7 linked regions of the Macaca mulatta genome follow. The protein of the gene in region 3 interacts with the protein of the main gene of each other region in a biochemical or structural test. Links are inferred from orthologs where the notes say so. Each region holds a gene or a part of one and is shown on either strand. Other genes may lie near its edges.

Evidence for each region.
Region 1: the proteins of RHOA (region 3) and PKN2 form a complex in vitro, tested with the Homo sapiens proteins (2 studies listed by BioGRID, with this or other methods). The link is inferred for Macaca mulatta from reciprocal best matches to the Homo sapiens genes RHOA and PKN2.
Region 2: the proteins of RHOA (region 3) and RTKN form a complex in vitro, tested with the Homo sapiens proteins (8 studies listed by BioGRID). The link is inferred for Macaca mulatta from reciprocal best matches to the Homo sapiens genes RHOA and RTKN.
Region 4: of the proteins of RHOA (region 3) and SMURF2, one has a biochemical effect on the other in vitro, tested with the Homo sapiens proteins (3 studies listed by BioGRID, with this or other methods). The link is inferred for Macaca mulatta from reciprocal best matches to the Homo sapiens genes RHOA and SMURF2.
Region 5: the proteins of RHOA (region 3) and CIT form a complex in vitro, tested with the Homo sapiens proteins (2 studies listed by BioGRID, with this or other methods). The link is inferred for Macaca mulatta from reciprocal best matches to the Homo sapiens genes RHOA and CIT.
Region 6: the proteins of RHOA (region 3) and SMURF1 form a complex in vitro, tested with the Homo sapiens proteins (2 studies listed by BioGRID and IntAct, with this or other methods). The link is inferred for Macaca mulatta from reciprocal best matches to the Homo sapiens genes RHOA and SMURF1.
Region 7: of the proteins of RHOA (region 3) and ARHGAP32, one has a biochemical effect on the other in vitro, tested with the Homo sapiens proteins (3 studies listed by BioGRID). The link is inferred for Macaca mulatta from reciprocal best matches to the Homo sapiens genes RHOA and ARHGAP32.

What each region holds. Positions count from the first base shown.
Region 1 is NC_133406.1:151,798,154-151,802,082, forward strand, and holds part of PKN2 (serine/threonine-protein kinase N2), read right to left. Parts: intron 2,759-3,929; coding exon 2,615-2,758; intron 2,297-2,614; coding exon 2,221-2,296; intron 1,646-2,220; coding exon 1,471-1,645; intron 1,255-1,470; coding exon 1,128-1,254; intron 1-1,127. UniProt on the Homo sapiens protein: PKC-related serine/threonine-protein kinase and Rho/Rac effector protein that participates in specific signal transduction responses in the cell.
Region 2 is NC_133418.1:50,374,583-50,378,228, reverse strand, and holds part of RTKN (rhotekin), read right to left. Parts: intron 2,089-3,646; coding exon 2,027-2,088; intron 1,930-2,026; coding exon 1,876-1,929; intron 1,777-1,875; coding exon 1,659-1,776; intron 1,468-1,658; coding exon 1,258-1,467; intron 397-1,257; coding exon 302-396; intron 192-301; coding exon 85-191; intron 1-84. UniProt on the Homo sapiens protein: Mediates Rho signaling to activate NF-kappa-B and may confer increased resistance to apoptosis to cells in gastric tumorigenesis. May play a novel role in the organization of septin structures.
Region 3 is NC_133407.1:112,801,215-112,803,947, forward strand, and holds the end of RHOA (transforming protein RhoA), read right to left. Parts: intron 2,042-2,733; exon of another isoform or gene 1,832-2,041; coding exon 1,658-1,831; 3' UTR 586-1,657; downstream 1-585. UniProt on the Homo sapiens protein: Small GTPase which cycles between an active GTP-bound and an inactive GDP-bound state.
Region 4 is NC_133421.1:74,453,794-74,457,722, forward strand, and holds part of SMURF2 (E3 ubiquitin-protein ligase SMURF2), read right to left. Parts: intron 3,865-3,929; coding exon 3,686-3,864; intron 2,846-3,685; coding exon 2,708-2,845; intron 1-2,707. UniProt on the Homo sapiens protein: E3 ubiquitin-protein ligase which accepts ubiquitin from an E2 ubiquitin-conjugating enzyme in the form of a thioester and then directly transfers the ubiquitin to targeted substrates.
Region 5 is NC_133416.1:127,159,411-127,164,029, forward strand, and holds the start of CIT (citron Rho-interacting kinase), read right to left. Parts: upstream 3,157-4,619; 5' UTR 3,081-3,156; intron 2,010-3,080; 5' UTR 1,997-2,009; coding exon 1,901-1,996; intron 1-1,900. UniProt on the Homo sapiens protein: Plays a role in cytokinesis. Required for KIF14 localization to the central spindle and midbody. Putative RHO/RAC effector that binds to the GTP-bound forms of RHO and RAC1. It probably binds p21 with a tighter specificity in vivo.
Region 6 is NC_133408.1:46,363,919-46,368,510, forward strand, and holds the start of SMURF1 (E3 ubiquitin-protein ligase SMURF1), read right to left. Parts: upstream 2,907-4,592; 5' UTR 2,869-2,906; coding exon 2,814-2,868; intron 1-2,813. UniProt on the Homo sapiens protein: E3 ubiquitin-protein ligase that acts as a negative regulator of BMP signaling pathway. Mediates ubiquitination and degradation of SMAD1 and SMAD5, 2 receptor-regulated SMADs specific for the BMP pathway.
Region 7 is NC_133419.1:129,332,964-129,336,892, forward strand, and holds part of ARHGAP32 (rho GTPase-activating protein 32), read right to left. Parts: intron 3,708-3,929; coding exon 2,665-3,707; intron 1,353-2,664; coding exon 1-1,352. UniProt on the Homo sapiens protein: GTPase-activating protein (GAP) promoting GTP hydrolysis on RHOA, CDC42 and RAC1 small GTPases. May be involved in the differentiation of neuronal cells during the formation of neurite extensions.

The sequences.
Region 1 (3,929 bases), on a different chromosome or scaffold from region 3:
CTCGGGAAGCTGAGGCAGGTAAACCCAGGAGGCGGAGCTTGCAGTGAGCTGAGATCCGGCCACTGCACCCCAGCCTGGGCGACAGAGCAAGACTCCGTCTCAAAAAAAAAAAAAAAAAAAAAAAGTTGAAAAACTGGGCTGGGCGCGGTGGCTCATGGTTGTAATCTCAGCACTTTGGGGGCCAAGGCGGGCGGCTCACCTGAGGTCAGGAGTTCGTGACCAGCCTCACCAACATGGAGAAACCCTGTCTCCACTAAAAATACAAAACTAGCCGGCGTGGTGGTGCATGCCTGTAATCCCAGCTACTTGGGAGGCTGAGGCAGGGGAATCACTTGAACCCAGGAGGTGGAGGTTGCAGTGAGCCAAGATAGTGCCATTGCACTCCAGCCTGGGCAACAAGAGCAAAACTCTATCTTAAAACCAAACCAAAACAAAACAAAACCAAAACAACAAAAAACTAACACATTATTATGTATGTTAATCATGCTAGAAGAAGAATAGTATTTCAGGCAGTATGTCATGTAGTATCAAACTCACTCCTATGTTACCTATAGCTTAAGCAGCTTATTCTATCTCTTCTGGACCATGAGCATCCAGAGGCTAACGACAATTTCATGCCAACATTAAGAAGTTGGTTATCTCCTATCAACTCAGTCTAATTTAGCTGAGACTAGACCATAAGAAACACAAATTCGGCTGGGCGCAGTGGCTCATGCCTGTAATGCCAGCACTTTGGAAGGCAGAGGCGGGCAGATCACTTGAGGTCAGGACCAGCCTGACCAATATGATGAAACCCCATCTCTACTAAAAATACAAAAATTAGCTGGTCATGGTGGCATGTGCCTGTAACCCTAGTTACTTGGGAGGCTGAGATAGGAGAATTGCTTGCAGGAGGATGACTTGAACCTGGGAGGCAGAGGCTGCAGTAAGCCAAGATCATGCCATTGCACTCCAGCCTGAGCAACAAGAGTGAAACTCCGTCTCAAAAAACAAAAACAAAAAACAAACAAAAAACAATAAATTCACAGTGGCAATTTTAAATGGAAATACACGCCTTATTCACTATGATGCTTTCACTGCTAATTCATTCGGTGAAAAGGAATTATGCAAGGTTTAAAATGGCTTGCCTGTCCTGGTGTATCCAAAACTCTTAATTCAGAAGATTCATCTATTTCTCCAAGGGAAGAAGCTCGTGGTGGGGCTGGAGGAGGTTCAGGCTCAAGATCAAAGTCCAATTTGGTTACTGTAGAATCACTTATAGAAGATAAAGTAACTCACCAAAACAGTAATAGAAAGTCTGTATTTTAAACCACTTTAAAATTAAAGCAAACAATTTACTTTTTAAGTACACAGAACACTACTTTCAAAATACTACTTGGGGAAAAAAACAAGACTCAGTACACCTGCTATAATCGGTACGTAATTGTCCCAATAACTTTGCATAAGATGCTTAAAATCTCAGACACATACCTAGCTGGAGGTGCTAGTTCAGGGATGCGTACATCAACCACTGGCACTGTAGTAGGCACAGGAGCTTGAGGGCTGAAGGTGCCAGAATGATTTACTGTAGGAATAGCTCTTCTTACTAGCCTTCCCCAAGTGGCAATATTAATATTCATTTGAGGAGCTCTGAGAAATGTTTTGCCTGTATATATTGAAAATAACAAAAATAGAACAAGTAATTTATGTATAACCAAAAGTCATAATTTAAAAATTCTTACTCGTCAGTTTATAATCTATGAAGAACAAACAAAATTTGTCACTTAAAAAAACTAGTTTTTTACTATTTGCTAGTAAAGGCTGGTGCAAAATAGCATAAGTAGTTTTAAAAATAAATAGGTAAGAAATTTTTTTTTCTCTTTAAGTCTAGTAGTAATATGTGATTAAGGTTTTAAAAAGAAATCTTATCTTTTACAGATCTAAACTATAATATTTATGAATAAATCAGTAGGATGTCTGGGTTTGCTTCAAATTTGAGAAAGTAGTGAGAGGATGGCATATGGATAAAATAAAATGAGTTGACTATTGTTGAAATTGGATGATTGTACATTTCACTAGTCTCTTCACTTGTGGATACATTTACAATATTCCTTAATAAGAAATTAGAAATAAATGAATAAACAACAACAAAAAAAACCACAGATGGCTATTACTTTTAAAATGGTAATTAGATGTTTAAGAAAATATCAAAATGCTATGTATTTGATTGTTAGTAATTACCTTGTTGCTTTGAAAAAATTTTCTTTTGTCTTTGAAGTTTTGGTCTTCTTTCAATAACTGGGTTAAAAAAGGTAACCTGCAGTGAAGAAAATTCAAGTTGACATGAAAATAGCATTGGATTTATGGTTCATGAAATCCACTAAACTTATAAAATTTGAAAGCTTAAGAGAATCTTAGTTATAGTTTAGTCCAGCCCCTCATTTTCTAGCTGAGAAAACAGACATAGAAAGAATAATTGGTTTGTCTCAAGGTCACATACCTATTCAGTGGCATAGCTCAGCCAAAACTCAAGTCATCTGTCTCTCAGCCTAACACTCTTTCCACTTCTATATTATGCTGCCTACATACGTAATTTCAATTGTAGTTATGCACATTAATAAAATACATTTATTACCTCTGCAAATAAAGTACCCTGTGGTTCCAAATAGAGACACATGCCATGCCGCTGGTTGTCTAAAAAATCTTCTAACCTCAGAAATTTTACAGCACACAGAGACCGCCAATCACGCCAATAAACTGAAATTTCCAGTTCACGTGACTAGGATAATTAAAAAAAATAATAAAGAAAACAGAAAAGACATCATTGGACACACACTTGAATAAAATATCACAAAAATATGAAATACAAATACAATGAACAAAAATTACAGACACAAAGGTCACACTGTTTTAAAGAGATTTGTAATGTTTCTCAACTGTATATTACTTTATCAAACTTACACATTTTAATTCAAAGGAACAAAACTTACACTGTGACACTTTCCAGCTAAGGTATTCCTAAAGTATACTTAAAGAATACACAACTGGGAACAACCAGTACATATGAATAACCACCAAAACTCCTTCTCTTACAGCTTCAATCTTTTGGATTTCCCTCCTCTGTTTGTCATCACATGCTATGTTACTACCCCAATGCTTGCTTGCTTCAAAGAACTCATTTGAAACCTTTTTATTTCTTTGTCTCATTGCTGAGTCAGAAAAAGTTCTGCAAATAGCATTTATTCTGTACTCACAATGTGCCACATATTGTGCTAATAAGCACTTTAAGAATATTAGGTCATTTAATTTTCAAAATACCACTGGGTAGCAAGACCCATTTTGTGTACGTAGGGCAGAAAGGGGAAATTCAGACCAAGCTTTATACACAAAGATATTCGCTTATTATAACAATAAAACATAATTTAAAAAGCAAATTAGCAAGAATTTGAATGTTCAAAAACCAGGGACAAGTTAATTATACCAAAGCTATATGAGAGAATACACAGTAGACATTGAAAATGCTCATGTGGGGAAATATATTTAAGGTTTTAATAATCAGTGTTTAAATGCACCTGTAGAACATAGTTCCTAAGCTGGGGTCAATCCATATACTGACCACTACCTATATGTTTTAATGTATATATATTTTAATCATAAAGTACTGGACTTTTCTATTATTTTGTTTTTTAGGCTTCTGTACACCATCCACATAAAGAGATAAATGTTTCTCCTTTTAAGGCTCTACAAAGCAGTAAATTACTTACTTTATATAACAAATTTCAATTTATAAACTTATGCATCTTATTATGTAAGGTCTTGGTATATACAGTAAAAAAAATCTATTGACCTTAAATTATAAATCTAGTTGATGCTAATGAACACGAAAAACACCTATAAAAAATGCAACATGAAAAGAAATGAATCAAAACACAATGGGCCAGAGGGTTTTA
Region 2 (3,646 bases), on a different chromosome or scaffold from region 3:
CATTAGCTCTTCTATTCCTGGTTATCCAGCTCTCCTCTGCCTTCTCCCTGCTCCCTTCCACTCCTCAGGGCCCTCTCACCTCACCTGCACCCTGAGGGTACCACTTGCAGTAGGCTGAGTCATGCAGAGAGGCTGAGCTGCCAGACGGCAACACACACTACCATAAAGGGGTAGCCAGGCAGGGTTCTCCTCTGGGGGAGGAGGAAGTGCAGGGTGAGGTAGGGGAATGAGAAGGGGACCGTCCCACAGCCCCTCTTCTCACCATCACATGTGTGTGTCCCCCATGCACATACATGCTTACCATGACTGGCAAGGGTGAGGTCATGTGTGCGGAATCCATCTTGCACTGCTGCCAGGGTGAGTGTGGTGTGAGCCAAGAGGTGGTAACGAGGACCACTAAGGGAGATAGGAGAGAGCATCAGCCGAGGGAGGGGCGTGTTGGCCAGCAGGAACTCTAAGGGCTGAGCACATCTGCCCCATTGTTCAGGCTGCCCCACAGAAAACTCGCTTGTCTCCCCAGAGGGTTAGGAATGAACATTTACTGAGCTCCAGCTAAGTGTCAGGACCTATGCTTTATATGTTTTATCCCACTGTATTCCTATGACAGCCCTGTGAGGTTGGTGGCATTCTTCAACTAGATGAGGCAACTTGAGGCTTAGAGAGGTTAAGAAACTTGCCCATAGTTTGTAACTGGAAAGTGGGGGAGTTTGAATTTGAACCCATATCTGTGTCCAAAATCAGTATTCTGTTGACTACCCAAAGGTTCTCAAACTGCTTCTCAGAGTCTCAGTGGTCCCATGAGGTGTCTCCGGGTGCATGTAGATACCACCACAGGTCCAGGGTACTCTGCTCCAACCAAGAAGCTCTGCTCTATCCACATAAAATGTATTTGCTAGGCTGAGTGCTGTGGCTCATGCCTGTAATTCTACCACTTTGGGAGGCCGAGGCGGGAGGATCACTTCAGCCCAAGAGTTCGAGACCCCGTCTCTAAAAATAAAATGTATTTGCTGCTACTAAAAAGTTAAGACCCCAAGGCCTAAGTCTCCCTGCCTTCCTACTGGTATTCTGGACTGGCTTCAGCCCAGCTCTGGGGCGTGGGCTGGAATGCCTCCCAGCTACGTGGCCACTGCTCATTCATGTCTGTCTGCACATCCTGGCAGCAATGCAAAATGGGTTCTGCACACTCAACACAGTTCAAAGGTCACCTGTGGGCCGAATATAGGCAGCTGAGGGTAGTGGCAGTGTGCAAGGCCTTACCCAACAGCTGGGGTGGGAAGCAAGATGGGACTGCTCCCTGAACCCCCAGCACTGTCCAGCGATGCCCGGACACGCCTCCCTGAGGAGCGGCCCAGGGAGCTGCTGAGTTTGGTGGCAAGCCTCTTGGGGGCACCAGTCAGGGCCCCCTCTTCTTCCACACAGGCCCCATACAGCTCTAACCGAAGTTCAAAGTCTGGCCCCGCCTCAGCGCTGGTGGGAGGAAGGAGGGTGATCACAGGAAAGTCCAGGGAGGCAGAGGGTGGGGGATGTGGGTGGGGCAAGTGCAGGACAGCTCCACAGGGAAGGCCAGGTGCCCCCCACCCACAGCTTCCTCCCCTGGAACTTGCTCATCTAGAACTGGAGCAGAGTGGAGGAAGGGAGCCACAGTTTGAGGTACTCACAAGAGCACATTGCTCTGAAAGGAGATGTCTGTAAGGGTCCTGTCCACCAGGATCATCTCTGTGTCCTGGATGTGTTCCCCCAGCTGCAGTAGCAGGAACACAGCCCAGCGGTGCAAGTCTAGGAACAAAGAGGGCAAAACTCAAAAAACACGTCCCACAAGAGCCTCCTACGTCAGGGTCATTCCCCTGAATCTGTCCCAGGGTGTGTGGAACTCACCACCTTTGTTCTTGAAATATTCTGTGTCCTTCCACATGAGTGGAATCCGGAGGTCTAAGGGGCAGGGGGGTAGGAACAGATGTTGAGATGGGGCAAAAGGCCGTGTGCTTGGGCAAGGGGTGCCAGCAGCTGGGGTAGCTGTGCTTCTTACCGGAGATGCAGACCCGGCCGCGGCAGGGGGAGCGCTCAGCGGGCGGGCCACTGTCAGAAGGCCTGTGGATAAATAACAATGTCCTGGCCTGGCCTCTAGCCACTATTCCCCCTTGCTCTGCCCAAGGACTCTAGGATCGCCCTGGTCCCAGGGCTTCAGCCACCAGGTCCCCAGCCAGGCTGACAGGCAGGGCTGAGGGACTATAAAGGGAAAGTTGTCCATTGAACCCAGCAGTTTGCCAGGCTTGGGGACACCAGGGACACTCAAGCCACGTTAACTCACACATAAGGCACAAGCTCAGGGCTCCTCTCTCCAAGCACCCTCCCTGACCACCTCTCCAGACCCCTGCCAAGGACAGGTGTGGCCTTGAGGGGACAGGTGCCCACAGAGAGACTTCATTTCCAGGGCTCTCCATTAAACCCCTGCCTTAGAGGCATTTCCAGGCTTTTTTTTTCTTTCTGTTTTCTTTTTTTTTTTTTAACAATAGGAAGGCTGCTTATTTCCCACTATCCCATCACTGCTTTGATATAGGAGGGTACTGGGTCAGAAAATAATTTGGCCAACGTTTGTTCAAAGGGAAATCACCAATAGGGAAGAGTTACATTCTATTCACTACAGACCCTTTTCCTTCCCTACCACTCCCCAACTTTGATTTCTCCTTTTTCCTCCTGGCCCTATATGCTGTACCCTACTAGTGCCCCAAGTTCTGCAGCCCCCTACCCACCCCACTGCAGGGCCCAACACCCCACCTTCCTTCCCTCCCCGCGCATCAGGACTCACCACATGTGTCTCTTTCCTGAAGCGACTGCCAGTTCATCTGTACTTATCCATAATGCCACTAAAGTAATTACTGACTTAGTAGAGCCTTAAGCTAAATGATGTGGCACTAATGGCAATGTGTTTAGCTGCCAGGCACTTGGGGTGTACCTCAAATCACCTGTGTGGGCTGTGTGAGGACTTCGGCAGGACAGAGTCTGTCCATGCTGCTTTTCAGGAGAGGCTGTCCCCCCGCCAGCTTGCCCTTCCTCTAGCTTCATGGGATAGCCATAGAGTGGGTTTTCTGCCTTCTGGTAGCTTCATGGGTGAGCTCCTGGCAACCTCCCCTTGTGTCAGCCTTCATGGGTGGAATGAGCACCACGCCTGTGAGGGGCTGGGACTAATTCCCCAAGCAGCCTCAGTGGAGTAAGTAGGCCACTTTCCTAAAAACCAGTTCTCCAAATGACCACTTTATCCAAATTGGCATATTCTTAGAATAATTTGCCAAATATTTTCCCCACTATTTTGGTTTTATCATGGCATCACTTAAGTCATTATAGACTTGTCAGATCAACAGTCTAATGTCAGTGTTGCTTACATTTTATGTCCAGAAGCTGCACCCTTTTAGAATGCACAATCTAATTTGTTTGAATGGGTAGGCTTTCCTTAAGTGGTTTCTTATTTCCTTTCCCACTCCCTGCCTCTGATGGTGAACCCCGGATAACAAACTATTGTCGGTATGTGGTAAATTGGCCATTTTGTGAACCAGCATTGAGGAAATTAATTTTCCAAAAGCCAGGTAGCCAGTCTTACTGGATCACAGACAGGGCTTAGCAAATTAGTGCTTTTGCATTACTTGCTACC
Region 3 (2,733 bases):
CGGTCCAGGTCACCCTTCCGAGGGCTGGGGCCCTCGAGGGCTCCGTTTTCTTTCTCAAAGGCTCCTCAATTAGGATGTGGGGTTCGGCATAGAAGGCTGGTGGGCGGCGGCAGCAGCTGCCGGTGCGCAAACAGCCCTCCTCTCCTGTGCCATGTTACCGGCAGTGCAGGGGACAGCCAGAGGGATATGGGCTTCCGGTCTCCCTCCTCCCTGTCTCCAAAGCGGCACCGCCCTTGCGCGGGTTTTCTAACAGGGCAGAGTCCTGGAAGCTCTGCCCCAGCTTCCTGAAGTGGAGCCCAAGAGCTCGTCAGGGCCAAGGAAACGCGGCCTGAGTCCTCCCTCTCTGGCCTCCTCAGTAGGCTGCATTCACCCTCCCCCCAAATCTGAACTAGAATGCGGTACAGGGTAATCATTTCCATGTTGTTGGGAGGGACCAGATTAGCTGCTGGGTAGGTGGGAGGTGGGGCACAACCTAGTCTTTTGCACCCTGAACAAACCTCTCCAGGGTGAGCTAGGCCAGGAAGTCCTTGCATCCTCCTGCCCCCAGCCCTGGAGAGAGCAACACAAACAACAGGATACACGAAGTTTAGAAAACTGCCTTTATTCTATTAGTAGTTGGAAAAATTAACTGGTACAGAAAAAAAGTTTAGTCAGCTGGAGAGAAGAGAGACTGAGTGCCACCTATGAGAACTGGTGGCTCCTCTGGGAGGGAACCTGGATACAGTGAGGAGAAGAGCACTGTGAATTAGAGCCAGATGCTGAAGTCCAGGTGAGACAGGTTATGCCACCTTCCAAAGTGTCTAATTGCCTCAGGCGTGAAACCAATTCCTATTTACTTAGCCCAGCTCCAGATAGGGGTACTGAGATACATGGGGCCGAAAAGGGGTAATATGGCCATCTTTTATCAGAAAAAGTGACAAAACGGGAATTTAAAAAATGAATTTTCCATCTGACTTTATTTCCAAATACACTTTCTTTTTTAAAAAACCAATACACTTTCTTTGGGGATGACAAATATCAGTATTAGGAAATCCAATTATACAAAAAATACTACATCTAGTCTGGGGTAGATATATTTATTTTTGGTAACATACATTAAGTGGCACTAATTACACAGTAACTATAAGGTAACTAACATGAAACCACAGAACTGTAACTCTGCCACAGCTGCATGAACTTGGGCTTTTCTGGTTGAGCCCATTTTCAAAAAACTGCCCACCCCAGAGCTATGCCAACAAAATCTGTTAATGAGTAAAGCCCTGAAGTGGTGACTCACCAGAGTACCTTGCAGCTGACAGATAATAGGCAGGACATGTTAGTTATAAAGTAGTTACAGCCTAATTCACAAAAGTTACCAACTGTTTCTCTTTCTAGAAAGAAGCAAGAAGTTAAGAAATTCCTTGAATTAGCGCCTGGTGTGTCAGGTGGGAGTGCAGAGGAGGGCTGTTAGAGCAGTGTCAAAAGGACCCTGGTGGGCCAGACGGGTTGGACATCATTAATAATCATAGTTGGCTTCTAAATACTGGTAGCAAGATGACTTCTGATTTGTAATCTTAGGTAAATTATAGATAAATGAAAAAGGCCAGTAATCATACACTAAGATTAATAAACAGCACTTCAAAATTAACCGCATAAGGGCTGTGCTTGCAGCAAGGTTTCACAAGACAAGGCACCCAGATTTTTTCTTCCCACGTCTAGCTTGCAGAGCAGCTCTCGTAGCCATTTCAAAAACCTCTCTCACTCCATCTTTGGTCTTTGCTGAACACTCCATGTACCCAAAAGCACCAATCCTGTTTGCCATATCTCTGCCTTCTTCAGGTTTCACCGGCTCCTAGCAAAAAGAAAAAACAGTCCTTTTAGCTAATAGTGTGGCATACATATAGTAAGTAAAGAGTATTCAAATTCAGCTTAAAGACTTTTTTTTTCTTGTTTTGCAACAGTTTTACTCTTGTCAGTCGCCCAGGCTGGGCTGCAATGGTATGATCTCAGCTCACTGCAACCTCCATCTCCTGGGTTCAAGCGATTCTCCTGCCTCAGCCTCCTGAGTGGCTGGGACTACAGGTGCCCACCACCACACCCAGCTAATTTTTTAGTAGAGATGGGGGTTTCACCAGTTTGGCCAGACTGGTCTCGAACTCCTGACCACGTGATCTGCCCACCCCGGCCTCCCAAAGAGCTGGAATTACAGGCATGAGCCACTGTGCCCAGTCTTAAAAAAAGACTTTTTTTTTTTTTTTGAGACAAAGTCTGGCTCTGTCGCCCAGGCTGGAGTACAGTGGCGCAATCTCGGCTCACTGCAACCTCTGCCTCCCGGGTTCACGCCATTCTCCTGCCTCAGCCTCCTGAGTAGCTGGGACTACAGGCGCCCGCCACCACACCCAGCTAATTTTTTGTATTTTTAGTAGAAACGGGGTTTCACCGTGTTCGCCAGGATGGTCTCGACCTCCTGACCTTGTGATCCGCCCGCCTCAGCCTCCCAAAGTGAGCCACTGCGCCCGGCCAAAAAAAAAAAGACTTTTAAAAGCTGTTAAACTTGGCTATGTGCGGTGGCTCACGCCTGTAATCCCAGCATTTTGGGAGGCTGAGCTGGGCAGATCACGAGGTCAGGAGATCAAGACCATCCTGGCCAACATGGTGAAACACCTCTTTACTAAAATATAAAAAATTAGCCAGGCATGGTGGCGGGCACCTGTAATCCCAGCTACTCAGGAGGCTGAGGCAAGGGAATTGCTT
Region 4 (3,929 bases), on a different chromosome or scaffold from region 3:
AGTAAAAGCCAATAGCAAGTGCTTTTTGATTAAATAATCATTGTTCTCTAGAGGATATAAAAATTCTGGAAGATGTAATTTTACCAATAAAAAATGCACTAAACTACATCTACTGTGTGACTGTATGATTTATAAGTGAATTGCTTTTATTTATCTACCTACCCAAGAAGACCTCTCCATCTCACACATCACAGAACTTACTCATCTGTCAAATTTGTTACCATTTCCAAATCTGGAGAAATGGTTCTCCACTTCAAGAGAGAAGTTACTTAACAACACATCCTTTGGAGGACCATATTTCTGTTTGCTGGGCTAAGGGGACAGAAAAACTGTACAACTGTAAAAATTTTTCTTTGTAATTTTTAATCTCAAAACTGTAGCTGGCAAGGCATTAGTACCGTGTGCTGTAAACACGACTGAACCCTGGAGAGTGGGATCCAGGGACTGAGTAGGACACACGAGGTCTTGAAAAGGAGATACTGCTAAGACTTAGGAAATTCTCATTTGTTCTTTCTTTTTTTATTATTTTAAATTTATATTAGATAGAGTTTCGCTCTGTCGCCCAGGCTGGAGTGCAGTGGTGTGATCTCAGCTTACTGCAACCTCCACCTCCCAGGTTCAAGTGGTTCTCCTGCCTCAGCCTTCAAAGCAGCTAGGATTACAGGTGCCTGCCAACACACTTGGCTAATTTTTGTATTTTTAGTAGAGACAAGGTTTCACCATGTTAGCTAGGCTGGTCTCAAACTCTTGACCTCAGCTGATCCACCCACTCTGGCCTCCCAAAATGCTGGGATTACAGGCATGAGCCACCACACCCAGCCTGTTCTTTCATTTTTTAAAGTAGAAATGTAATACATACTTTTTATGCATGTAACAAAAAAACAAACATTAACTATGGAGACAGTAAAATATGAAAGTCCATTCTTTTACCCTCTTTCTCCTCCCTATTTCCAGTCCCATCACCTCCACTCCCTCATCCTAGGCAAAAACTTTATTTGACTGCAGCCTCCTGAACATCTTCAGTATAATTATAAAAAAAAAAAAAAAAAACCAGCCAGGCACGGTGGCTTACGCTGTAATCCCAACACTTTGGGAGGCCAAGGCAAGCAGATCATGAGGTCAGGAGTTTGAGAACAGCATGGTCAATATGGTGAAACCCCATCTCTGCCAATAATACAAAAATTCGCCGGGTGTGGTGGTGCGCACCTGTACTCCCAGCTACTCGGGAGGCTGAGGCAGGAGAATCACTTGAACCTGGGAGGCAGAGGTTGCAGTGAGCCAAGATTGTGCCACTGCACTCCAGCCTGGGCAACAGAGTGAGACTCTGTCTCAAAGAAAAACAAAAGAAAACAAAAAACAAAACAAAACAAAAAAACATAGACTTTGTTCCTACATAATTCTTGTAAGATTTAGTTTTAAAATATGACAGCTTATGTAGTCTTTCTTTTAAATATCCACATAATATTCTGTTGAATGTATAATATAATCATTCTTCTCTAAAAAGATTTTAGTAGTGTAATTTTTACAAGTAGTATTTAATTGACCATCCTTTCCTGTACTTCTTCAATTACATGTGTGTTTCTGCAGAAGAGTCCTAAACACAGAGCTGCTAAAGGGCATGTACTGCTGGTATCAAACCGCTTTCCAGAAAAGCTATGCCAGTGTTCACTCCAATCAAGTGGACCTCATTTTTAAACTAGGAACAATGTTAGTAAGATTTGAGAACATGATCTATACAAAAAAAGTATAGCATGCAAGTTTCTGTGTACATACAGTAAAGTTCAAGTTCAAACTTCCAAAGCTGATTACCACAGTTTTGTTTGGTAGACTTTTTATTTCTCATAAGCCAAATTAGCCCAATACATAAAAATTCCTCAAATTTACTTTATGAAATCTGAAAAACATTTATTTACATTTATCCCTAAACTCACAATGTGCTTGTTTATAAACAGGCTAAATGTTAGTAATATACAGCACAAAAGCCCTTCTGAATTGCCACCTGTGATAGCTACACCACACATGGCCCCATTGCCCACATCTCCTGGTATTCACACCTTTGTACAGCTCCTCTTCCATGATGAAACTGGGCTGGCTGTCTCAGTTTAACCAGAACTAGACAGAAGTCATGTTGGCCAGGACCAGGCTTAGGCCTTAAAAAGATCTACAGCTTCTGCTTTTGAGCTTTGGAAAGCTGGCCACCCCATAAGAAGTCTATCAATACAGTGGGTAACATGATTAACCTTCATTACAATGAAGGGACAAACTTTTCAGGGAGAAAGAGTGGCTATGGGGAGAGGGAGTGGTCATGGAGAGAGGGAATGGCCTTTGATATCACAGAGGGAGAACCAAGGAACTCAGCCAACAATGAGAACTAGGACCCAGCCAGTGACCCCAGTCGACAGCCATGCCAGCTAGCCCTCGGCCATTTGAGTTATCCTAGTTATGAGTGAAGAGGCCATCTTGGTGTTGCAGGCCTAGCTGACATCTTGTGGAACAGCAGTGTGTCATCCATGTTGTTCTTTTGCCCAATTTCCTGACCCTTGGAATTGTGAGAAATAATAAAATGGCTGTTCTTAATAAGCCACTAAATTCTGCTGAAGCGGATTTTGTAACACTAAGTAATACTATCTAAATATTTAAGTTTGTTCATACTAACATCCTAGAACATTTTAAAAAAATTCAGCCTTGAGAACACAGGAGTGTTTACCTGACATATTCTTTTTTATTTTCTTCATTAACAGGGATACTTTTGCCATTTGGTTTAAGTTCATGCTGAATAATTTCACCATATGCATTATGTTCAACACAGAAGGTATGGTCCAAAACACCTGTAATATCATTCTCACTGGAAAGGAAAGAGGAAGAGATAGGTAACTGGGAAACCTAAAATACAGACCCTATAGATGTATTAACTGGTGAGATAAAACTAAGATCATTTTATAATATGACAAATGTGAGGTCAGATTCAGCTTATGAACTCTTAAACTACCACACTACCTAGTTCTTTCTGGACAGAAAAGTCAAAGAGCTTTAACCTGCATAAACACAGGAAACATTTAACTTCCTGAGTGATGAGAAAGAGCCCTGGTCAAAGCTGGGACTTGCTAGAACCACCAATATAGGACAATTTCAGTTATATTTGGCATTCTGAAGAGCGCTACTCGGTACTGTACTCCAAGGGGCCAAGTGCCTGTGTATCCCTAGTTGAGAAAGCCACTGTATACTTTATAAAAAATAAACATTTCCAGTGTATCTTCATAAAAATAACGACCTCTTGCAAAACAGAATCAGTTCTTAGCTTAAATTCAACAATTAGTTCTTATCTAAAAGTATGGTTCCAACAATCGCCACTTCATTAAAAGCAATGGCAGCAAGAATTTGCTATTCTAACACATGCAGGTTTGGAACAGAATTTACATCACATTGAGGAAATAATCATATAAAGTACTTTTAAAAATAGAATATACTAGTTTTTTTTTTTCTTTTTAAAGTAGTAACACTTGCTAAGTTTAAGGAATTTGAAATATATAAAGAAGCTACAGAAAGGGGGAAATCATATGAGATCCTATCACTCAACCACTCAATATTTTCTGTGTAATTTTTTTTAAGTACATCGGTTTTGAAACTTTTTTTTAAAAGCTCAAGAGTTTAACTATAATGAAGAGACAGAAGACTCAATACATACAGTATCCACACTAAACTGTTATGAAGATCTGGATCTACTAACTCCATGTCATCCAAAGTAATCGACTTCCCAAGCAATTGCTTATAAAAAGGCAAAGTGAAACCACCATCAATATAATGTCCATGAAACACAGCCATTCCCATTATTCGTCCAACAAAGTGGAAATAGGATAAATGTTCCTGAAATTGAAAAGAGTGTATATACTCAAGTTAGAAACTACCCAGGAAAATTTTAATAAAAATGA
Region 5 (4,619 bases), on a different chromosome or scaffold from region 3:
GCTGAGTATTAACAATACTTACCATTTTTTATAAGGGGTTTACTAACAGCCAGGCAAGGTGCTAAATGCTTTATATGTAATATCTCATTTAATCCTCACAACAACCCTGTGGATTAGGTACTACAACCTCTACGTTATTTTTTTGTTTTATTTTGAGATGGAGTCTCACCCACTCTGCTGCCCAGGCTGGAGTGCAGTGGCACGATCTCAGCTCACTGCAACCTCCGCCTCCCGGGTCCAAACGATTCTCCTGCTTCAGCCTTTCAAGTAGCTGGGATTACAGGTGCATGCCACCACCACGCCCAGCTAATTTTCTATATTTTTAGTAGAGATGGGGTTTCACTATGTTGGCCAGGCTGGTCTCGAACTCGTGACCTCAAGTAATCCACCCACCTCAGCCTCTCAAAATACTGGGATTACAGGCTACAACCTATTTTAAAGAACAGCAAATGGACTCAGAAAAGGTAACTGACTCACCCAGAGTAACACAGCTAACTAGTGCTGGGACTGGGATTCAATTCTAAATCTTCACAGTCTCTATTGTCCCCCTGACTTATGAATACATAAATCAAACAAGGATTTCTACTTCACCAGTGTTCTATATACATCAGAAACAAAAGAATTAAAAATCTATTTGGAAGTAATCTTATGACATTAAGTTTTAACACATCTGGGGTGATGGAAATGTGTTATCTTGAGAGGAATGAGGGTTAAACAGGTGTGATATTCATCAAAACTTTTTTTTAAATCTTAAAAAATAAACATCCCTGCAATGAAAATGAATAGGATGATACCCACAGAAATTGTAGTTTTAAAAAGCATCTTTGTTCATTTATTTTTCTTTCTCCAATAAAAGGGCAAACTCACCCTGGTGCAGTGACTTACGCCTGTAAGCCCAACACTTTCAGAGGCTGCGACAGGTGGATCACTTGAGCCTAGGAATTCGAGACCTGCCTGGGCAACATGGTGAAACCTCACCTCTACAAAAAATACAAAAATTAGCCAGGTGTGGTGGCACACACCTGTGGTCCCAGCTACTTGGAAAGCTGAAGTGGGAGGATCGCTTGAGCCCGGGAGGTCAAGGCTACAGTGAGCCGTGATTGTGCCAACGCACTCCAGCCTGAGCCACAGAGCAAGACCCTGTCAATCAATCAATTAATGAACTTTAGTACAGAAGTGTAAAGTGTGAGAAATATGAAAGGATCTCCCTCCTAAGGCAAGTTCAGCTATCTACTTCTGCAGTGTCCTTTTTCCAAAATAATCAGTGCATATAAAACTCCAAATAGAAGGCCAGTGCAGTGGCTCACACCTATAACCCCAGTGCTTTGGGAGGCCAAGGCAGGCCTCACTTGAAGTCAGGTGTTCAATATCAGCCTGGGCAACATAGTGAGACCCCATCCCTACAAAAAATTTAAAAATTAGTTGGGCATGGTGGCACAGGCCTAGAGTCGACAGAAGACCTTGTTTCAAGCAAAACAAAACAGAATTTCTCCTAAAATATTATCCTTGGTCCTATAATGAAAGCAAGCCTGGCGCATTTCATGCCTGTAATCCCAGCACTTTGGGAGGCCAAGGCAGGAGGATCACTTGAGGTCAGGAGTTTGACTCCAGCCTGGCCAACATGGTGAAACCCGTCTCTACTAAAAAAAAAAAAAAATACAAAACTTAGTCGGGTGTGGTGGCAGGCGCCTATAGTCCCAGCTACTCTGGAGGCGGAGGCAGGAGAATCGCTTGAACCCAGGAGGCAGAGGTTGCAGTGAGCTGAGATTGCCCCACTGTACTCCAGCCTGAGCGACAGAGTGAGACTCTAAATAAATAAATAAAATAAAAGCAAAGGTGAGTGACAAGGAGATTCCAAGGAAACACACAGGTGAGCAAAGTTGGCAGGGTAGCCTGTTACCTGGAAGAATAGATTCAGCCTGGAGGCCCGGCTGGCAATGGGTTCAGCAGCACCAGCATCCAAAGGATTCCGCGCTCCATATTTGAACTTCAACATCTCCCCACTGGTGCTGAAAGGATATCAGAAAAGTCAAGTATGTCCTATGTTTTGAGCAGGAAGGGCTTGAGAGATCCTGATCTCCCTCAAGGTATCAGGGACAAGGAGATGAAAATTAGCTACCACTCCAGTTTTAGGAAGCTCAGTCTAATCATGGAGATTAAACACCAGATTTTAACTCACCGTAACAGGAGGTGATACACTTATCTGACATACTCTCTTACTTATCAATGTGTCTATTATCTCCCCCCTTAGAATGGAAGCTCCACAAGGGCAGAGATTTTTGCCCCCACGCAGTGGGGGCACACATAGCCTGGCACATAAATAGGTGTGAATAAGTAGTTATTAAATGAATGACTGAAATAAGCAAACTATATATAGTTTGTTGGAAGGTGTTAAGTGCTATGAGGTAAAAACAAAACCAAGTAAGATAAGGGCAATGGGGGTGAGACGGTGCAATCTTTAGTGTGGTCAAGTCAGACTTCACAGAAGACACCATTTGACCCAAGACTTGAAGACCTGAAGCGGGTGACCAGCAAGCCATGTTGATATCTGGGGAAAGAAAGATATCCGTGGCAAAGGAAACAGCCAAGCCAAAAGCACTGAGGCAGGATCTGGCCTCTCCAACAATAACAGGGAGGCCAGAGGGAATGGAGCAGAGCGAAAGAGGCGGGGGCATCAGGAGGTGGTGGGATGGGCACGAGGTATGAAGACACTGAAACAGAGAGGTTAAGAAAATTGCTATCACGCAGATAATAAGGAACTGGCTGACTACACTGGGCAGAATAAAGCAGTTAGTGCTGACAGGAGGCAGAGCTGAAGAGACGAAGGGCTCCTCCTGGTTTAGGGGAGGAGCAAGCCTCCCGCCCCGGCACCACCCGGCAGGCCCCTCGGCTCCTGAGGAGGGTGCGCGCGCGCACAGCCAGCCTGGGAAGACCCTCCAGGCCTCCCGCAGCCCTAGGGGTGGAAGCACCGCCCTCCCCGCGGCGGGAGGGAAAGCCGGGACTGGTGTGGGTGGAGGCGGCCTTCCCCTGGCCTTGCGGAGCAGGGTGCGGTAGAATTGGGTCTAGGGGCTCAGACTCACGCTCTGCGGACCCGGCTGGTCTGCGATCTGCTCCGCCCCGCGCCTCCCGCCGCCGCGTTTGAACCAGAGGAACGGCGCGGGCGGGTCTCAGCCGTGTCTGGACCAATCAGCGTGCCCGTTCCTATGATAGACATGGGCTTCTCAGCCAGGCCCCGCCCACGTCTTTAAAGTGATGGAGAAAGTGAAAAGGAGAGCCAATCAAATTGCATCTTCCTTTGACTCGCGACCAATGGGATAAAGGGAAGGGCAAAGTCGGCTGGGCAGGTCTTGGAAGTTTGAAATTGGCGGTTAAGCCGGATGCTGCGTTTGGGGACGCGACTGTTTATCTAGGATCCCTGAGGAAGTCGCCTGGGTGCTGTCCCCTGCTCTCGGCCACCCGCGAGGAGGTAGGCAGCCAGGCTACTCAGCCTGGTCTTCTTTCTCTCTCACGCGGCTAAGGTAGAAGTACTTGTCACCTGGGGAAACCCAATGGTTCTCTGCTACAGCTGAGGCGGCGAATGTTTTGAGGTTGACTTCAACCTACCTTGATTACTCTATCTCCCGGCTGACTGCCCTGCAAGGAGTTGATGAAAGTCATTGAGGCTGTCTGAAAGGACACTTTAAAATAAATTATAGAAGAGATACTTAAAACAGGCACGTCACCAAAACGGAAATCCAGATGACCAACAAATGTATGAAAGGTGTCAACCTCGTTCATAATCAGAAAAAATGAAAAATAAAGTCACAATGAGAAACAATAACACTCAAATTCGAGAACAACAACAAAAAAAGGATGTGACAGTGTTTGCGAAGATGTGGAGGTACACACATTTATACAGTACCCGTAGACGTGTAAATGGACACAATCTCTGAAATTTAAAAAAAACAAAGTATGGCACTATTTGCTAACATTGAAGATTTGTGCATTCTATGACTATTGCTAGGAGTAGTTTCTCTACCTAAGAAAAACTCCTATTTATTTATTTATTTATTTTGAGGCGAAGTGTTGCTCTGTCTCCCAGGCTGGAGTGCAATGGCACGATCTCGCCTCACTGCAACCTCCGCCTCCCAGGTTCAAGCTATTCTCTTGTCTCACCCTTCCAAGTAACTGGGATTACAGGTGCACACCACCATGCCCAATTGTTTGTATTTTTAGTAAAGATGGGGTTTCACCATGTTGGCCAGGCTGGTCTTGAACTCCTGACCTCAAGTGATCCGCCCACCTCTGCCTCCCAAAGTGCTGAGATTACAGGCCTTAGCCACCGCTCCCAGCGAGAAACTCCTACTTATGTACACCAAGAGATGTGTATAAGAATACAAAATAGTGTTGGCAAAAAACTGGAAGCGACATAAATGTCTATCAGCAGTAGAAAAGACAAAATTGTATATTGCAGTGTTTTCATAAACAATGAACAAGAATAAACTGCAACTAACCACAATGGCATAATGAGTCTCAAAACAAGGCCTAATGAAGGAAGCAAGACAATGACATATGATTCCATTCATATAAATTCCAAAAGCGGACAAAACAAAACAACGTAGTTTAAGGAGGGATGTATT
Region 6 (4,592 bases), on a different chromosome or scaffold from region 3:
TTAACCAAAAAGATGAGGCCAAAACCTATTCCGCTGTCAACAAACTTTCTAGTTCAAACCTTTCGAGGTAAACTAAGGTTCCACGTACTGGCATTGCATGTGTACACCATCACCGCTAAACCGCAATTGTATTGTAAGGATGATCACACTCACAGATCCTCTCAAACCATTCATAACATCTACTGAAAGGGAAAGGGAAAGGGAAAGGGAAAGGGAAAAGGTGTTTCAGAAAGAACACTCATCACCTGGTCCTTCCCTATCAAATGTCATCCAAAAATTCCTTAAAGCATTCTTGCATCGATAATCTAAATTCCTGAATCCAAAAATAATTTGGGAGGAGGACAACCCAAGTCCTCCCTTTCAAGGCCCAGGCTTGGCAACTAGGATTAATTAATATATATATACCGGACATAAACATTTCAATTAAAACCTATTCCTTCTAAAACACTCATCATATTTCTAACAAAACACAAAATCAGTTGCTTTCGCTTTTAACAAGATAACTGAAACCAATATGATGTCAATTACAGACTGAGTTGTAAATCAGAACCAAGTTAAAAGCTTTCCAAGTATTACAATCTCAAAAATGTTACTTTTATGTTACCGCATAAATAAAAATGTATCTACATTGTATCTACAAAGTGAGAAGTGTTTCCTATCAGCCCTGGTGTGAAGAAATCTATTTCCCCAGAAGCAAAGATCCCAGAGGAAACTACCTCTTACATTACAAAACCAGGGTCTGGGTCTGGGTCCAAATCATTATCTCATTATCTTTATACAAAAAAACAAAACCTTCTCTTCAGACAAAAGTTGGGCCATGCAACAACTATGGGCTCTCAAAGTAAATTTTAGTTTTAAAAAAATTACCCATTGTTTGCATGGATTTTACCGATGACTTTATGGCTGCGCATCTGCCATATAGTGTTCAAAACGCTCATTCTCTCTTTGAAAGGACCTGCCCAGACCAGGACTTTGGAGTTCTCACCCGACTGAGCCACTGAACAGAAAAATCCAGGGGAAAATCCCTGACGGGGATTAGAATGAACTTTTTAGTTTCTTTCCAGAGCTGGAAATATTCGAGTTTGGAAAGTCCCGGAGCAGAGCCACATTTGCAACACGGCCGTCCTGCTTTAGGGATGAATTGAAACTGGGAAGACAGTAGTACCAGGGAGAGTGAGAAAGGGAAGATGAGGATGCAGCCTGGTCCAGAACCTCTGGAGCCCACTAGGGAGACAGACTGGCATCACATCCACGCCACCAAGTCGCAGGCCCACGGCAGAGAGTTGCGCTCACCCTTGAAGGTGGCACTACAGAGCCACCCAGGAAACACGGGCTTTTCACTGAAGACGAAATGAATCAAGGAGCCTGCGTGTGGGCAGCTTCCAAAGCCTCCAGTGAGTGTGGGAGTAGGGATCAGCGTCTCACGGGCGCTCAGGGTTGCTGAGTGTGAGGGTGATGGTGAAACAAAATGCAGAAAAGGTAAAAATTGAAGAAGCCGAGTCAAAAGTAGCTAGCGGTCTGGCCTAAGAGACAGGAAGTGGCCCAGACTGAGACTGACGAGGGCTGGACCAGGGGGAAGTGAGGAGAGCAGGACTGGGAGCAGCTACAAGATAGGATTGAGGAATTTCAGGCTGAAGGAAAGAAAGGGTGGAGGCCCCGCCAGACAGCAGCGAGGGGGCGGGGCTAGGCAGGAATGAGGGCGGGGCTTGAAAGTGAGGGGCGGGGCTAGTGGAAGAAGGAAATGAGGACGGTGTAGGGGGTGAGGGAGAAACGAAAAAGGATTGAGGGGGTGAGAAGCGGGTGGGTGGGGGCAGGAGGGCAGAAGCAAGGGGCAAGTGGAAGGGGAGATAGCAAAAGAGAGGATGGAAGTGGGGGAGAAGCGGGTGGGAAAGTCCAGGAGGATGAAGGGAGCGAGCAGGTGGGAGGGGAAACAGGAAAGCAAGAGAGAGGATGGGAAAGTGGTGAGAAGTGAGGGATGGGACCAGGGGAACAGAGGCGAGGCCAGGAAGGAAAAGCGAGGGGGCAGGTGGGCGGAGAGGTTGGGAAGCAAGGAGAAGCATGGAGGGCGTAAAAACGGCGGAGGAGAGAAATAAACGAGAGAAGCAAGGGGACGGGGCCAGGAATGAAGAAGCGAGGGGGTGGGACCAGGAAGAAGTGAGGGCCGAGGCTAGGAAAGAAGTGAGGAGGCGGGACCAGGAAGAAGTGAAGGCCCAGGCTAGGAAAGAAGTGAGGGGGCGGAACCAGAGAGAAGCAAGGGAGCTGGACCCAGGGAGAAGCGAGGGGGCGGGGCCAGAGAAGTAAGGAGGCGGGAGCAGACAGGAGCGAGGGGGCGGGACCAGGGAGATGTGAGGGGTCAGGTGCCGGGGAGGTAAAGGTGGGGAAAGGAGAGGACCGCCAGGGGGCGGGGCCTGGAGGGAGAAGCGAGGGGTCCGGTGCTAGGGAGAAGAAGGGAAGCGAGAGGCAAGGGGCCGAGCCGGGGAGAGGTGAGGGGACAGGGCCTGGAAGGAGATGCAAGGGGCGTGGCCAGGAATGGAAATGAGAGGGGCGGACCCAGGACGGAGACGCGAAGGGGCAGGTGCGGGGGAACGGGAGACCGTGGGGGCGCGAGCGGCCAGGGGGCGGGGCCGGGCAACGGCGAGGGGGCGGGGCCGGGAGGGAGAAGCAAGGGGCGCACGCCGAAGGGGGTGACGAGGTCCTGGGACAACGGCCGGCGTGGGGGAGGGCCGCTTCCAAGGGCGCCCGGCGGGGAATTCCACGGAGGGCGAGGGGGCGCAGGGGCGCAGGGGCGCGGGTGGGCCTCCCGCCGGCCGTACCTGTCAGACGGATCTTGATGCTGGAGCCGTTCCTGCGTGTCCCGGGGTTCGACATCTCCCGCCAACGATCGGGCAGCCGCGGATCCAGCGCCGCCGCCCCCCGGCCCGGCCCGGCCCGGCCCCGCCGCCGCCGCCTCAAGGTTACGGCTCCGGGCTGGGCGCCGGGGTCCGAGCCGGGACACAAACTCCGCGGCCCAGGCGTCCGGGCGGCAGGCGGATGGTCGAGCCGGGAGATCGGCGCTCGCTGCGGCGCTCTGACTCTCGCTCCTCCCAGCCGAGCCCAGTCCCGAGCCGCAGCCGCCGCCGCCTCCACCACCTCAGAGCCGGACGCCAGCCGCCCTCGCCGCTTCCGCCGCCGCCGCCGCCGCCGCCTCCCCGAGCCGCGCGCGCGCCCGCCGCCGTGCCGGCCCGGCCCTGCGCGCCCCCGTGCCTGCGTGCGTGCGCGCCCCCGCGGCGTGCTCCGGGGCGGGGCGGGGCGCGCCGCTACGTCGCCCACCCGCCTCGGGCGCGCGAGGCCCGGATCGCGCGGGATGGGGTCTTCCCGCTTCCTCGAGCCAGCGGGTGGGAGAGTCTGGCCCCAAGCCCGGGAAGGGAGAGCAGAGCTGGCCCCGGGGCCCAGTGCGCCGTCGCCCTCTGTTTTGGCCCCTGTCTCTGCGAGGCTCTGAGTGGCTCCTGAGTGACTGAAGAGGTGTTTGCATGAAACCGTGGGCTGTGTCCATACCAAGCACCTTGCACACAGGCGTGCAATACCAGTTTTTTTAGTTGAGAGCTTTCGATCGTGCAAGTTCAAGGGAGGGACTTCTCAAAGAGACAAAGCGCTTAGGTGTGTTCTGTACAACCGGTGTGCTCCACTGACCCATAACAAAGTTGCCAGAATCGCAGAAGTGCCATATACGGACAAGGAAAATGAGATGAGAGAGGGATAAAGTTGAGAGGCGGATGCTTGTTATTATCCAATCTGCATACAATTTTACCAAACAAGAAAGCAGCATTGTGGTTGGTGTTCCCCAGTCTTCTGCTAAGTTTCCCCTTCTCCCAGGGTTGCAGGTTAGAACCAACAGCTCATGGCTGGGTAAGGTGGCTGTAGCCTGTAATCCCAGCACTTTGGGAGGCCGAGGCGGGCAGATCACTTGAGCCCAGGACTTTGAAGCCAGCCTGGGCAACATAGGGAGACACCATCTCTACAAAAAATACAAAAATTAGCTGGGCACGGTGGTGCACGCCTGTAGTCCCAGGTACTGGGAGGCTGAAGTGGGAGGAACGCTTGAGCCCCAGAGTTCAAGGTTGCAGTGACTATGATCAGGCCACTGCACTGCAGCCTGGGCGACAGAGCTAGACACTGTCTCCAAACACACACACACACACACACACACACACACACACACACAAAGTTCATTATGCGCTTTCTCCAGCAAACAAACGCCTTTCTGTTAGCATGTTATAGAAAGAAAATGATATGTTATTAGAAAGAGAAAGCTAGGTTTATCAAACTTGTTTTTTACCCACTACCTTTTTTTTTTTTTTCTTTTGAGACAGGGTCTCACTCTGTCACCAAGGCTGGAGTGCAGTGGCACGATCTTGGCTCACTGCAACCTCCACCTCTGGGGTTCAAGCGATTCTCATGCCTTAGCCTCCCAGATAGCTGGGATTACAGGCGTTAGCCACCACACCCAGCTAATTTTTGTGTTTTTGGTAGAGATGGGATTTCGCTGTTTTGGCCAGGCTGGTCTCAAACTCCTGAGCTCAGGTGATCTGCCCGCTTCAGCCTCCCAAAGTGCT
Region 7 (3,929 bases), on a different chromosome or scaffold from region 3:
TAGATCCCACCCAAGTCGTCCTGCACGGCCGGGGTCATGTTATCATACTGGGACATGACAGGCCCTTTCACCTTCTGCCGAGCACGGCTCTCTCTCCGGATGGACTGCATGCGGTATTTTTCCATGTCCTCAAGATCCCATGAGGTGTAGGTGTGCTTCACATCAGCCGCCGGAGGCATGTTGACTACATTATGGTCGTTGGGAGAGAAATAGCCAGTCACGTTGGCCCGGGGACGTGGAGGCAAACCAGCATAACTGTACAAGTTCTTTCCTTGCAGCCTAGGATTGTAGAAAGCAAAGTCTCGATTGGGAAGGCGGTGAAGGGGTCTCAACTGGACTGTGCCATAGGCATCCACATCACACAGGGCCCCATCTGGACTGTAATAGGAACTAGAAGAACTGGAATATGGGCTATACCTGTAGTGGACCCGGCCATTCTCAAAGTAAGGCTGCAGCTGAGTGACGTGATAATCGGAGCGGGCCTGGGAGGACTGATATGGCTTATATTGGTACAGGGGTCTTGGGCAGTAGGCTGGCTCATCATCTGGGGGAACTTCTGTCCGTGAAATGGGAACAGAGCGAATCATGGAAGACGGCGGAGCATGGAGAGACTGCACTCTCCGGATGGTAGGGTATGGTGGAATGTCTTCAGGGTAACAGGTATTCCTAACAGAGGAGCTCAAAGACGACACATACTCGATCCGGCTGCATGGCTTGGAATGGTGTCCAGATGCGTTTCTTCCTGGGGCCACATATGTGTTATAACGAAGACCCATGGAGGCTGGTGGCTCTGACCTGGCACCATACACTTGGTGCTGCTCCAATTTACTGTGATGTGGAGGTACACTCTGGGGACGGTACTGGCAGTTTGGAGTCATACTGAAATGCAAACAGTTTTCTGGACCAAAGGGTTCAGTGGTGACATCGGGCCTAGCAAAGGAGGAGTAAACTGTTTTCTGAGAAGCATGCTTAGGTTGTGGGACAGGAAGTGGTAAAGGCAATGCATCATCCACAGAGGCGGATGAAGCAGTGACAAAGGAATGATAATTTGAACTGCTGGTGGCATCTGCACTGCTGGAATGTATGGCAGCAGCCATCTTACTCTCCATCGTCCTGGTGGGGGGCAGTGGTGTAGGAAAGCCACAGGGATGTGCAGGGACAGACTCGGCACGCAGGTGCAGCAGCGGGGCCCGGGCACCATCCCGCACTTTCTCAGGCAGGCCTGGCTGGACAGCTGTAGCCATGGGACACTGAGCAGCAGCTGCACCACTGTCACTGATGAAGGCAGACGCAGGGTCATCCACGGCTCGAGGTTCAGGTGGCCTCTCTGGAACTGGAACTGCTCCTTGAACCTATTGAAAGACCATAATACTATGCATCTATTTTTTGTTCCGTCTATGAATCAAGTACTATTAAATTTGTAACTCACAAATTGAGGCTGGTTGGGTAGCAACTTGAACTTTCCCAAGCCATGTGGTTGCAATGAATCTGTACCCACTGATAGGAAAAGAAGGCTGGTGCTGCTATTTTGTATAAATATAGTATTCTCTCTGGAGAACCATTCAAAGTTTTCTAATTTATGAGAGGTTTTAAATGCGAGGCGAGGTGGCCTATGGCATGATTTTAATATACAAACCAAGAGAGGTTTAGTCAAGTAATACTGTAGAGCTTAAAAATACATACCCGGTCTCTTAGTCTAGCTCAGTCTCAACACCAAGGACATTTTGTTAAATTAAGAGTTAATTCTATCATCTGGAGAGACTTTTGAAATTCACAGTTGTACACACTGAGCAGCTTTAGGCCTTCAAAAATAGGGAAAGGCAATATTCAAATCAGAGGCTACTGCCTCTCCCCTACCTTTGATTCCACCTTAGTCTGGCCAAAGATAATCCTCATACTGAAAACATGCTATCCTTGAGAAGCAGTAAACACAGCATCCTCCACTAAGGTCTAAAATCTGAGGTCCTATTAATAGTTCAAGATGACTAAGAAAAACAACCTGTGGCCCTTCTTAAAATATGAGGAAATTCAGGAAGAAACCTTAGCATTCTGTATACTACATTCTCTCACTGAAGCAGGTGCCTGACTATGGGACAAACTGCTGGTGGATGCTAGGAAAGTAACAAAAATCCCAAGGTACTATAATCTCTTACACTTGCAAAAAGTCTGCAAGGCAGACAGTCCTACGGATGTTTTGAGAATGAAGTATTTTCATTGTGTAACTGTGAATAATTGGCAGAGGGTAGGTAAATGACTTGCCCAAAGTCACAATGAGTCAGCGATGGAGTTGGAATAAAAAAAAAAAAAAAAAAAAAACTCACAACCTTAAAGCCCACTTTGTCTTACTAAGTGTTACTAGGAATAAACTAGTGTTTTACTAGTTTATTGTGTTACTAGGAATAAACTACCAAGACACTTTAGAAGAAAAGGGAGCAGGTACAGTTAAGCTATAGTCATGGAGGAGCTACTCCCTTTTCTCGGGAAAAGCCAGCATCAAGGTAACGGCAGGCTCCAACCTCAAATGGGAATTATTTCATGGAAACCAGCCATAGGGCTTAAAAGCAATTGTTGTGTCTGACTCAAAGGTAACAACACACCCTGCTGAAAAGTGACATACCTTTGGTAATAGTATATTTCATCTCACTGATATCTTCCCCTTCTTACCTTGTGGGAATTATTTAATCCTATATTGGTTGCTGCTTGTACCTGCCCCACAACTGGTGGCTGCTCTGCAGATCTCTGGGAAGGTGGAGGGGGAAGGGGACGATTAGTTCTGTGTGTGCGCTGAAGGGTGGCAGCAGCAAAATCAGCAGTGGTGGGTTGTTCAGCCACATCCCAGCTGACTTCCTTGGTGCTCATTTGGGCTGTTGCTGGAGTAGTTGTCATGTACGTCATGGTGGCTGTGCTGGTATTCTCTTCGGGGGACCCAGAAGGATAGATTTTATCCCTAGGTAAATTAGGAGGTGTGGGTGATTTGTCTGCAAGGGACCCAGAAGGAAGGAAGATTTTATCCCTAGGTAAATTAGGAGGCGTGGGAGATTTGTCTGCAAATTCTAAAGGGTGATGGGGTTTATCCACACTTGCACCAAGATAAGAAGGAGGGTGATCTCCACTGTAGAAACGGGGTGGAGACTGGTCCTGATCCAAGAAGGAGACAGCTGGCATACTGTTCTTCCCAGACTGGTCTTCAGGGAAACTTATAAGATCATCCGACTTCTCTGAGTCTAAGGGAACTGAAGTAATTCTGGCCTTTTCTGGGTCCCCAGATAAATATGTTTGATGTGGCTGATTCCCTGTTAAGTCTACTTGGTGATATTGCTCCCCAGATTCAGTTGTGTTGGAATGGGTAGGATCCCCAACAGCTGTTGTCTCTGGTAGAGGATGGTCACAGTTTCCTGGTGCGTTATTCTGGAGGTGAAACTGCTCTGCTGGTCGATCGGTTTGAAAATAGGCCTTATCTAGAGCAACTGCAGAGTAAGAACTGGGCAGATTATCTTCAGTTGTAGCCACCGCTATATCTCCATAATTTGTATACCCAGCCTGAGAGGTCCCTGGTCTCTTCAATGACTGAGTTGAGGCTTGCTGTGCGGACTCAGCTAATGCTAGCGCCAACATTCGGGCAACATTTTTCGGAGGCGGTGGTGGTGGGATAAGAGAGACTGAACTGACAGGAACGGAATCCTGAGGGGGGTCATGGGTAACTGCTCCTAGTGGGAAATTGGGAAAAAAAATGAGAGTGAAAAGGTAGCTTACGTTATCCTAAATGGAAAGCCAAACACTCCCCATGTGATCACTAAAAAATAGGTGCCTTCCATATTTCAAAATGGCAATCCATGATCTTCTATCCCACATGCAAATGCTGTAGAAAACACATCTGGTGCAGAAGGAAAACTAAAACAAACCGTGTATAAAGACCGCAATCTCTTCTT